Linked DNA regions of Sus scrofa. The protein of the gene in region 1 purifies or fractionates together with the protein of each later gene. This does not show direct contact. Links are inferred from orthologs where the notes say so. Each region holds a gene or a part of one and is shown on either strand. Other genes may lie near its edges.

Region 1 (3,647 bases):
GAGGAAATCCCCCAGCAATAGATTTTGAAGACCATTCAGTGTAACATTATACAGACCCCAGGGCCATCTCTCTGGGAGATGGTGAGGTGGTGCGGTGGGGACTGTTAGGAAGGCTGATTCCCTGAAACAAAGGACATTTCCAGCCCACCCACCTTGGATAAATGACTTCAGTCCCAGGAAGAAGGAAGGTGCCTTTCCACTTTTTACCTTCTGAGAAGATCCTACCTTGTCCTCTCTTGTACATAAGACACAAAATCACTGAAGGTATGATGATTATAAACACAGAGAGCACAGCCAGCCCACTCAGCAGCCCAGGGTGGCGAGTCTGGAGGCCCACTGCGATGTCTGGAAATAGAAGATGCAATGAAATGTGACTCACAGGGAAGAGGCCCATGAGGCTGGGCAAGCTTGTCCACACTCAGGGTCACTATCCATACTGGGTGCCCTCCAGGGGTGTGCCAATACACCGAGGAAATTGTGCTTTCTGCTCTTAAAAATAAGATCAGAAACCGAATCAGGGAGTCGAGCAGGGGGCTGCCTTAGAACACCCTGGAATGCCTGGCATTACCCAGAAGGCTTTGAACTCTTTTCCAGAGCTTTCAGGAGGAGAAGCCCTCCCACCCCCACCCCGGGTTCAAGCCTGGCATAAGGGAGACACCTTCCTCTGGAGAACAAGGCCCAGATTCAAGCCTTGCAGTGGGTCAGGGTGATTTCTGAGGCTCTGGGAGAGATGGACACAGCTGGTTACCTGCACAGAGCTGCTGGGCAGAGATGGAGTCAGAATTGTTGCTGACAGGGTTCCAGGCTGTACATGTGTAAGTCAGGTGTTGGTTGTCAGGGGTCTGGAAGATTTGAAGGACATTGCCCTCTCTGCCCAGGTGACTCCAACTGTATGTCACATTCTTTTCTTCTTTCTCCACAGAGCATGTCAGTGTGACATTACAGGTGCCATTCATAGATGTCATTAAACTCCGAGTAATTTTTGGCTTCCCAAGCCGACCTGTGAGGGGAACATACATGGACAAGGGGTAAGCTAAAGCTGGAGCTGGCCTGTAACCACGTGTGGAAAATTTTCATGATGTTGTGAAAAACTTACAATGAAATAAAGTATATTAAAACACAATGGCAATAGAGACTCAAAACTAATCATTTTCTAATTTGGGGGGACACTTTACTATTGTCTGTGCTCTAGAGGTTATTTCTGTCTACTGTGTACATCCTTTGTAATGATGTACAAAGTCTTTCCAACACTGTGGGTCTTAAAATCGGCCAGGGTGGGAGTATTTACACCAGAGAAATTGGCAAATGCAACAAACTAGGGCATGATTTACTGCTTAGTTTCTGCTCCAGACTTAAGAAAACAGTGGAGGAGGTCAGTCACGGGGCTCTTGACCACGAGAAGGGGTGGGGCTCGGGTGCAGGGACCGTGACGTGGAGGGGAAGGACTTGGGTCCTGGTTTGTTTGGCTGACTGCGCCCACTTGCGGAAATGGCACCACGGCCACGTGGGCGCGTCGCGTCGCTGATGGTGGGCGGGTCGCTGATGGTGGGCGGGTCGCTGATCGTGGGCGGTGTAGACTTCACAGGACCGCAGCTCTACAGCGTGCACCCCCATGGGTCCTACAGCTGTCTGCCCTTCATGGCCCTAGGCTCGGGCCAAGATGCGCCCTGGCAGTGCTAGATTGGTTCCAGCCGAACATGACGGTGAGCGACACCTGTCCCCCACTCCGCAGTGCATTGGTGGGAAGCTGGAGAGCTGAGGAAACGCAGAGATACCCTGGCCTAATCAGGAGGTCAGGAAAAGCATTTTGGAGGTGATGACTGAGTGCAGAAGGAGGAGCCAGTGGGGTGAGGGTGGAGAAGTGCAATTCCAACAGACCACTGTCAATGCCAAAGCTTGGACTGCATGGAGAGGTCAAAACTCAGAGAGGACCATTTGGAGCTAAGGGAGGAGAGAACAACAGATCCAGCCAGTATCGCTTTGCCCCTGGGACCACAGCTGTCCTGTCCCAGACAGTGATGCCGCTGACCCTGGAGCTGGTGGAAGAAAGTGTGCAGGCCATGGATGTGGAGTGAAATAGGCCTACGTTTACTTGGAACAAGGAACAAGGAGGAATAAACCCAGAAAACACCACCACCACCACCACCAACAACAACAAAAAAGAAAACAGTGGAGGAAAGGGTACTAAAGCAGATTAAACTAAACAGTGCATCCTGTCTGTAGCCATTACATTGGGACTAGCACACAGAAAAATCAGAAATATTCTTCCAGTGTTTGAAAATCATTATCCAGTTCAGCAAAGGAGTTGCTCACATCATGGATGAAGAAATGAAATTCCAATATACATATCTTCATTGAATCACTTTTTTCTAATTAGTGAACTTAAATGAAAATGTTAATCAATATTCACATTGGTTGCATTTATCCATTCCTTATGTTGGTTCATTCATCAGTCGTAACCATACACTGGCTAGGGACATAAATGCTCAGCAAAAACCAGTGAAAGCATTCAGTCAGAACAGTTGGCTCATTCTGTGAGAACAAATGGAATTTACAATAAAGACTATTGTTTATTATCACTTGTGCAATTGTGTGCCACATCATCTTTATGTCAATAAAATTTATAATGTGTACACATGCGCACACACATCATTAAGAACTAGTTGAGGAGTTCCTGCTGTGGTACAGTGGGTTAAGAATCCGACTGCAGCAGCCTGCGTCGAGGTGGAGGTGAGGGTCTGAACCCCAGCCCAGTGCAGTGGGTTAAAGGATCCAGAGTTGCTGCAGCTATGGCGTAGGTGACTGTGACTCGGATTCAGTGCCTGACTCGGGAACTTCCATGTGCTTTGGGTGCAGCCATAAAGTTAAACAAAACAAAACAAAAAACCCCCAAAAAACCAGTTGAACAGTTGAACATTTATCAGCATATTACTGCAATGAACAATCTTTAAACCTTTTTGAGGGGCTCTGTTTTCTAGTGAATGTGTCTTTTCTTTAAGTTTTCTGGCTTGTTTTGTGTTAACGTGCTCAAGGTGAAAAGTTAAAACCTCTTTAAAAGTTTATTTTTTTAAATTAAAAAAAATTAAAAAATTTTTTTTAGGGCCGCACTTGAGGCATATGGAGGTTCCCAGGCTAGGGGTCAAACCAGAGCTATAGCTGCCAGCCTACACCAGAGCCACAGCAATGCCAGATCTGAGCTGCGTCTGTGACCTACACCACAGCTCACAGCAACACCAGATCCTTAATCAACTGAGCGCAGCCAGGGATGGAACCTGCAACCTCATGGTTCCTAGTCCGATTTGTTTCCTCTGCGCCATGACGGGAACTCCCTAAAGGTTTACTTTAAAAAATATTTTTACTAAAGCAATCAAAATGTAAACTATAGAAGTTGTAGGTAGTAAAATTTACCAAAAAACAATTATATATAAGTTGAGGGAATAGCTAGATCTGAAGCTGGAGAAGGAAAGATTTTTACCAGGAGATAGGAAAAGAACCACCTTCCGAGTTAAGTTTAGTTCACTCTTGGCAAAGCTGCTGTGACATGGTTTGTTCCTCCCACTATTGCTCTGTGAGGGAGGGATCAAAGGAAGGAACCTAACTTTCTAATTAATGCAGGGTCTCTAAAGGCGATGAATTCAGCAGTGTAA
Region 2 (4,136 bases), about 1.9 Mb from region 1:
AATAGCCAAGACATGGAAGCAACCTAAATGTCCATTGACAAATGAATGGATTAAGAAGATGTGGTACATATAGACGATGGAATACTACTTGGCCATAAAAAAAAATAATGCCATTTGCAGCAACATGTATGGAACTAGAGATTCTCATACTAAGTGAAGAAGTCAGAAAGAAAGACAAGTATCATATGATATCACTTATATGTGGAATCTAAAATATGGCACAAATGAACTTATCTACGAAACAGAAACAGACTCACAGATATAGAGAACAGACTTGTGCCAAGGCGGGGGTGGGGGGGAGGGAGTGAGATAGACAGGGAGTTTGGGGTTGGTAAATGTAAACTATTACATTTAGAATGGATAAGCAAGGAGGTCCTACTATATATAGCAGGGAACTATATCCAAACTCTTGGGACAGAACATGATGGAAGATAATAGTAGAAAAAGAATGTATGTGTGTGAGTGTGTGTGTGTGTGTGTGTGTGAGTGAGAGAGAGAGAGACTGGGTCACTATGCTGTACAGCAGAAATTGGCACATTATAAATCAACTATACCTTATTAAAAATAAGTAAACTGATAAAAAATATGTCAGGGTAATAAACAATTTTTAATATGCAAAAATTTCAATTATAGAAGCAGATATCCTTATTGAATTTTTCTAAAGTTTTTGCTAGTTTGTTTTTAGTTAAATCTAGACTTTAGAGGTATAAAATAATTTCAACTGCTAATAATAATAATTTCATATTTCCATTTCAATTTTTACATTTATTTTCTTTGATTTTCTAATATCTCCTGGAAAATGTTACATAGTAGGGCTTACAATGAACGTTTTTGTATATTCATGGTTTTAGGGGTTATTCTTCTGGTGATTCATATGGCCTTTGTTTAAGGAAGCATCTATCTAGCTTCATATGGCTAGAAGTGTTTAAGTGTGTGCATGCATGTGCGTGCATGAATGTGTTTAGTTGAGGGTGGATGGTGAATATCTAATATGTTCTAAGAAAATTTGAATGAGCTATGTAGTTTGTAACCTCTGACCTATTAACATGTAATTAAACTAATAATTTTCCTAACATGGAACCATTCTTGATTTCTTGGATTAGACCATGCTTGAGCATAGTGTATTTTCTCCTTTAATGTGTTACTGACTTCTATTTTGTTAGTAATTTACTGAAAATTGATAGTAAATGGGAGTTCCCATTGTGGCTCACCAGTAATTAATCTGACTTGTAACCATGAGGATGGGGGTTCGATTTCTGGCCTCACTCATTGGGTTAAGGATCCATTGTTGCCGTGAGCTATGGTGTAGGTCACAGATGCAGCTCAGATCCTGTGTTGCTATGGTGTAGGCTGGCTGTTGCAGCTCCGATTTGACCCCTAGCCTGGGAACTTCCATATGCCCTGTGTGTAGCCCTTAAAAAAAGACAGTTGATAGCAAATTAAATTGAAATTGGTCTGTAGTTTTCTTTCATGTGTGTGTCTTTTTTTCTTGAAAAAATATTTCTCCCTCCATGCATTGATATTGAAAAAAAAAATAAGTAAAAGGAAGATAAACAACTCAGGCTAAAAACGAGTAAAGCGTATGATCATGCAATTTTCAAAAGAGGAATTAGCAATGTTTAAAAAATATGTGAAAACACTCTCAACATCACTTTTAGCCTGAAAATTCAAACTGCTAGTGCCTTAGGGATGCCTTTTTTATATCTGTATTCCCAGTATCATAAAAAGAAAGAAACATATCACTGCCTATTCTGTTAGTAACGACAGTCGCTTTTGTCCTCAGAGCTTCAGAAGGACAGAAGCACATCCACAGAGACACTTGGGTTTTAATTCCTATACCAGGTAAATAAAAAGTTCAAGGTCCCCACAAGGAGAAGAATCCTTAAAGAAAGTCGATTCCCCCTGATATCTATTCACGATTGCTTTCTAAACTGGGCTAAACACGTTCTTTCAGCAGAGTAGTTCTGATGCTCTGGCTTGGAACCTCCTACTGAACTCAGCCTCCTTGGAAACACCAGATGAATTTTAACACAAGTTGCTTGAGAAATCCCAGGTCTCTCTTTCTTTCCCTACAAACTGGTGGCTTGCCTTGACAGACTACAAGCAGGATAAAAGGGAAGGAGGTAGGCCGAAGTCTTTTACAAATCTAATGGAATTTGAGAATCACCAGGGGAGCCAGCAGAATACATGCAAACACTTGGCTTCTCATTTTAAAATTTTATAAAAGGCACCTAGCCTTTTCCATCCTAAACAGACATTTGGAGGGAAGGACTTTCTTCACACGGCTACCTGCTCTGCCTCCCTGCTCCCCTCCCAGACCTCCTGTAGGCCTTCTCCTTGCCATGTCCCCCATCTCTACTGCTCCACAGAGCCTGCTCATGTGGCATTTGCACCCAGGAGAGAAGGGCAGGTGGAGGAGCCTAGACAGACCCATTTATCCCATCCCCTTCTGGCAGCGTCTAGCTAGTTCTCATGCTGCAAAGTCAGTGAAGGACAACTTCTTTCCTCCTTGGTGATCGGTCCTGCATTCAACATAAGGTTCCAAAAATGTGGATGAAGAGGTTACTCACGAGACACAGAGGCACAGGACTCCTGCCATGGACTCGCTGTCCCTTAACAGATAATTGCCATCCTCCCCTCCCTTGAGCAGCAAGGTCTCACAGTCTCTCTTGGACAGAGGGCCGTGGTAGTAAGGCAAATCCATGGGGGACTCTTGTATTCTTGAAATCCCGTCCCAAATCCAGGGATGGCTCTGAGGAGAAAAGTGGAGACAATTGGCCTAATGAGGCCTGTGGAAACACCTCGTGCTCCTCTGGCTGGTGGCAGTCAGATAAGTTTGCTCTGTGGGACTCAGATAATTTCACAAGATTCAGGAAATGACAGAGGTGGGGTGGTGAAATGGCCAAAACTTTTCTGCCTATAAGTGACCCAAGTGTGACTCATAGAAGTGGGTGAAACTACATTTGAATATATAGTGTAATCAGTGATGTTCATGGCTCAAGCCCAGTGCCAAAAACAAATTCTCCAGAACTGGGTAGTAGCCTTGGATATCATCCTAAATCACCATTTTTTGACTTTTTCTGGCTTATGGCATCCCTTCCAGGGATCACACCACTGCTTTTGCTGCAATGGTTGGGCTTTTTCTGCTGAAGCTGCCAGTGATTATGCTGTGCTTACCTCAGAGCAGGTGCTCAAAAAGTATTCAGGGGGAGTTCCCGTCGTGGCGCAGTGGTTAACGAATCCGACTAGGAACCATGAGGTTGCGGGTTCGGTCCCTGCCCTTGCTCAGGTCGCAGACGCGGCTCAGATCCTGCGTTGCTGTGGCTCTGGTGTAGGCTGGCAGCTACAGCTCCGATTAGACCCCTAGCCCGGGAACCTCCATATGCCACAAGAGCGGCCCAAGAAATGGCAAAAAAAAGACAAAAAAAAAAAAAAGTATTCAGACACTGAATAAATTCAGGTATGTCCAGGCATAATGGTACTATTGAGAAGGTAGGACACCCATGCATCAAATGACGTGAAAAATGGAAGACCACAATGGGAATAAAAGAATTTGGACACTGCGAGGGAATCTAGTCAGGGGGAGGATCCCTTGGCTAAGGCTCCTAGCTACTGGTGAACAAAGGTCTCTTTTTTTTTCTTTTCTTTCTTTCTTTTTTTTTTTTTTTTTTCTTTTGCTTTTTAGGATTGTGCCTGCTGCATGTGGAAGTTCTCGGGCTAGGGGTCAAATCGGAGCTGCAGCTACTGCAGGATCTGAGCCATGTCTGTGACCTACACTACAGCTCACAGCAATGCCAGATCCTTAACCCACTAAGCAAGGCCAAGGATTGAACCCTCATACTCATGGATACTAGCTGGGTTCATAATCCTCTGAGCCACAATGGGAACTCTCAACAAAGGCCATTTTTAACATCCTCTAGCATTGTGCATTTTGGGGAAGGAGCTGGAGCAGGTGGGAGGGGCATCTGGATATGCAAAATTAGTGCAAGAATGCTTCTTCAGGTGGAAGAAAAGAGTATATTAGGCTTGGGTTTGAATAGCCTCAGGTCCTTTGAATTTTCCATCCTGTGAGACAGCAGTGATGTGTATTTATGAAGAAAGTCTATCCGGTTAGGAACACTTAGCCTGTGTAGATG

Evidence for each region. Proteins that work in one complex are often made in the same cells at the same time.
Region 2: the proteins of CD84 (region 1) and SH2D1B purify together in Homo sapiens (affinity purification with western blotting; 3 studies listed by BioGRID and IntAct, with this or other methods). This does not show direct contact. The link is inferred for Sus scrofa from reciprocal best matches to the Homo sapiens genes CD84 and SH2D1B.

Annotation. Positions count from the first base shown.
Region 1 is NC_010446.5:89,952,551-89,956,197, reverse strand, and holds part of CD84 (SLAM family member 5), read right to left. Parts: intron 1,001-3,647; coding exon 749-1,000; intron 346-748; coding exon 226-345; coding exon of another isoform or gene 153-225; intron 1-152. UniProt on the Homo sapiens protein: Self-ligand receptor of the signaling lymphocytic activation molecule (SLAM) family.
Region 2 is NC_010446.5:88,096,286-88,100,421, reverse strand, and holds the start of SH2D1B (SH2 domain-containing protein 1B), read right to left. Parts: upstream 2,889-4,136; 5' UTR 2,705-2,888; coding exon 2,571-2,704; intron 1-2,570. UniProt on the Homo sapiens protein: Cytoplasmic adapter regulating receptors of the signaling lymphocytic activation molecule (SLAM) family such as CD84, SLAMF1, LY9 and CD244. In SLAM signaling seems to cooperate with SH2D1A/SAP.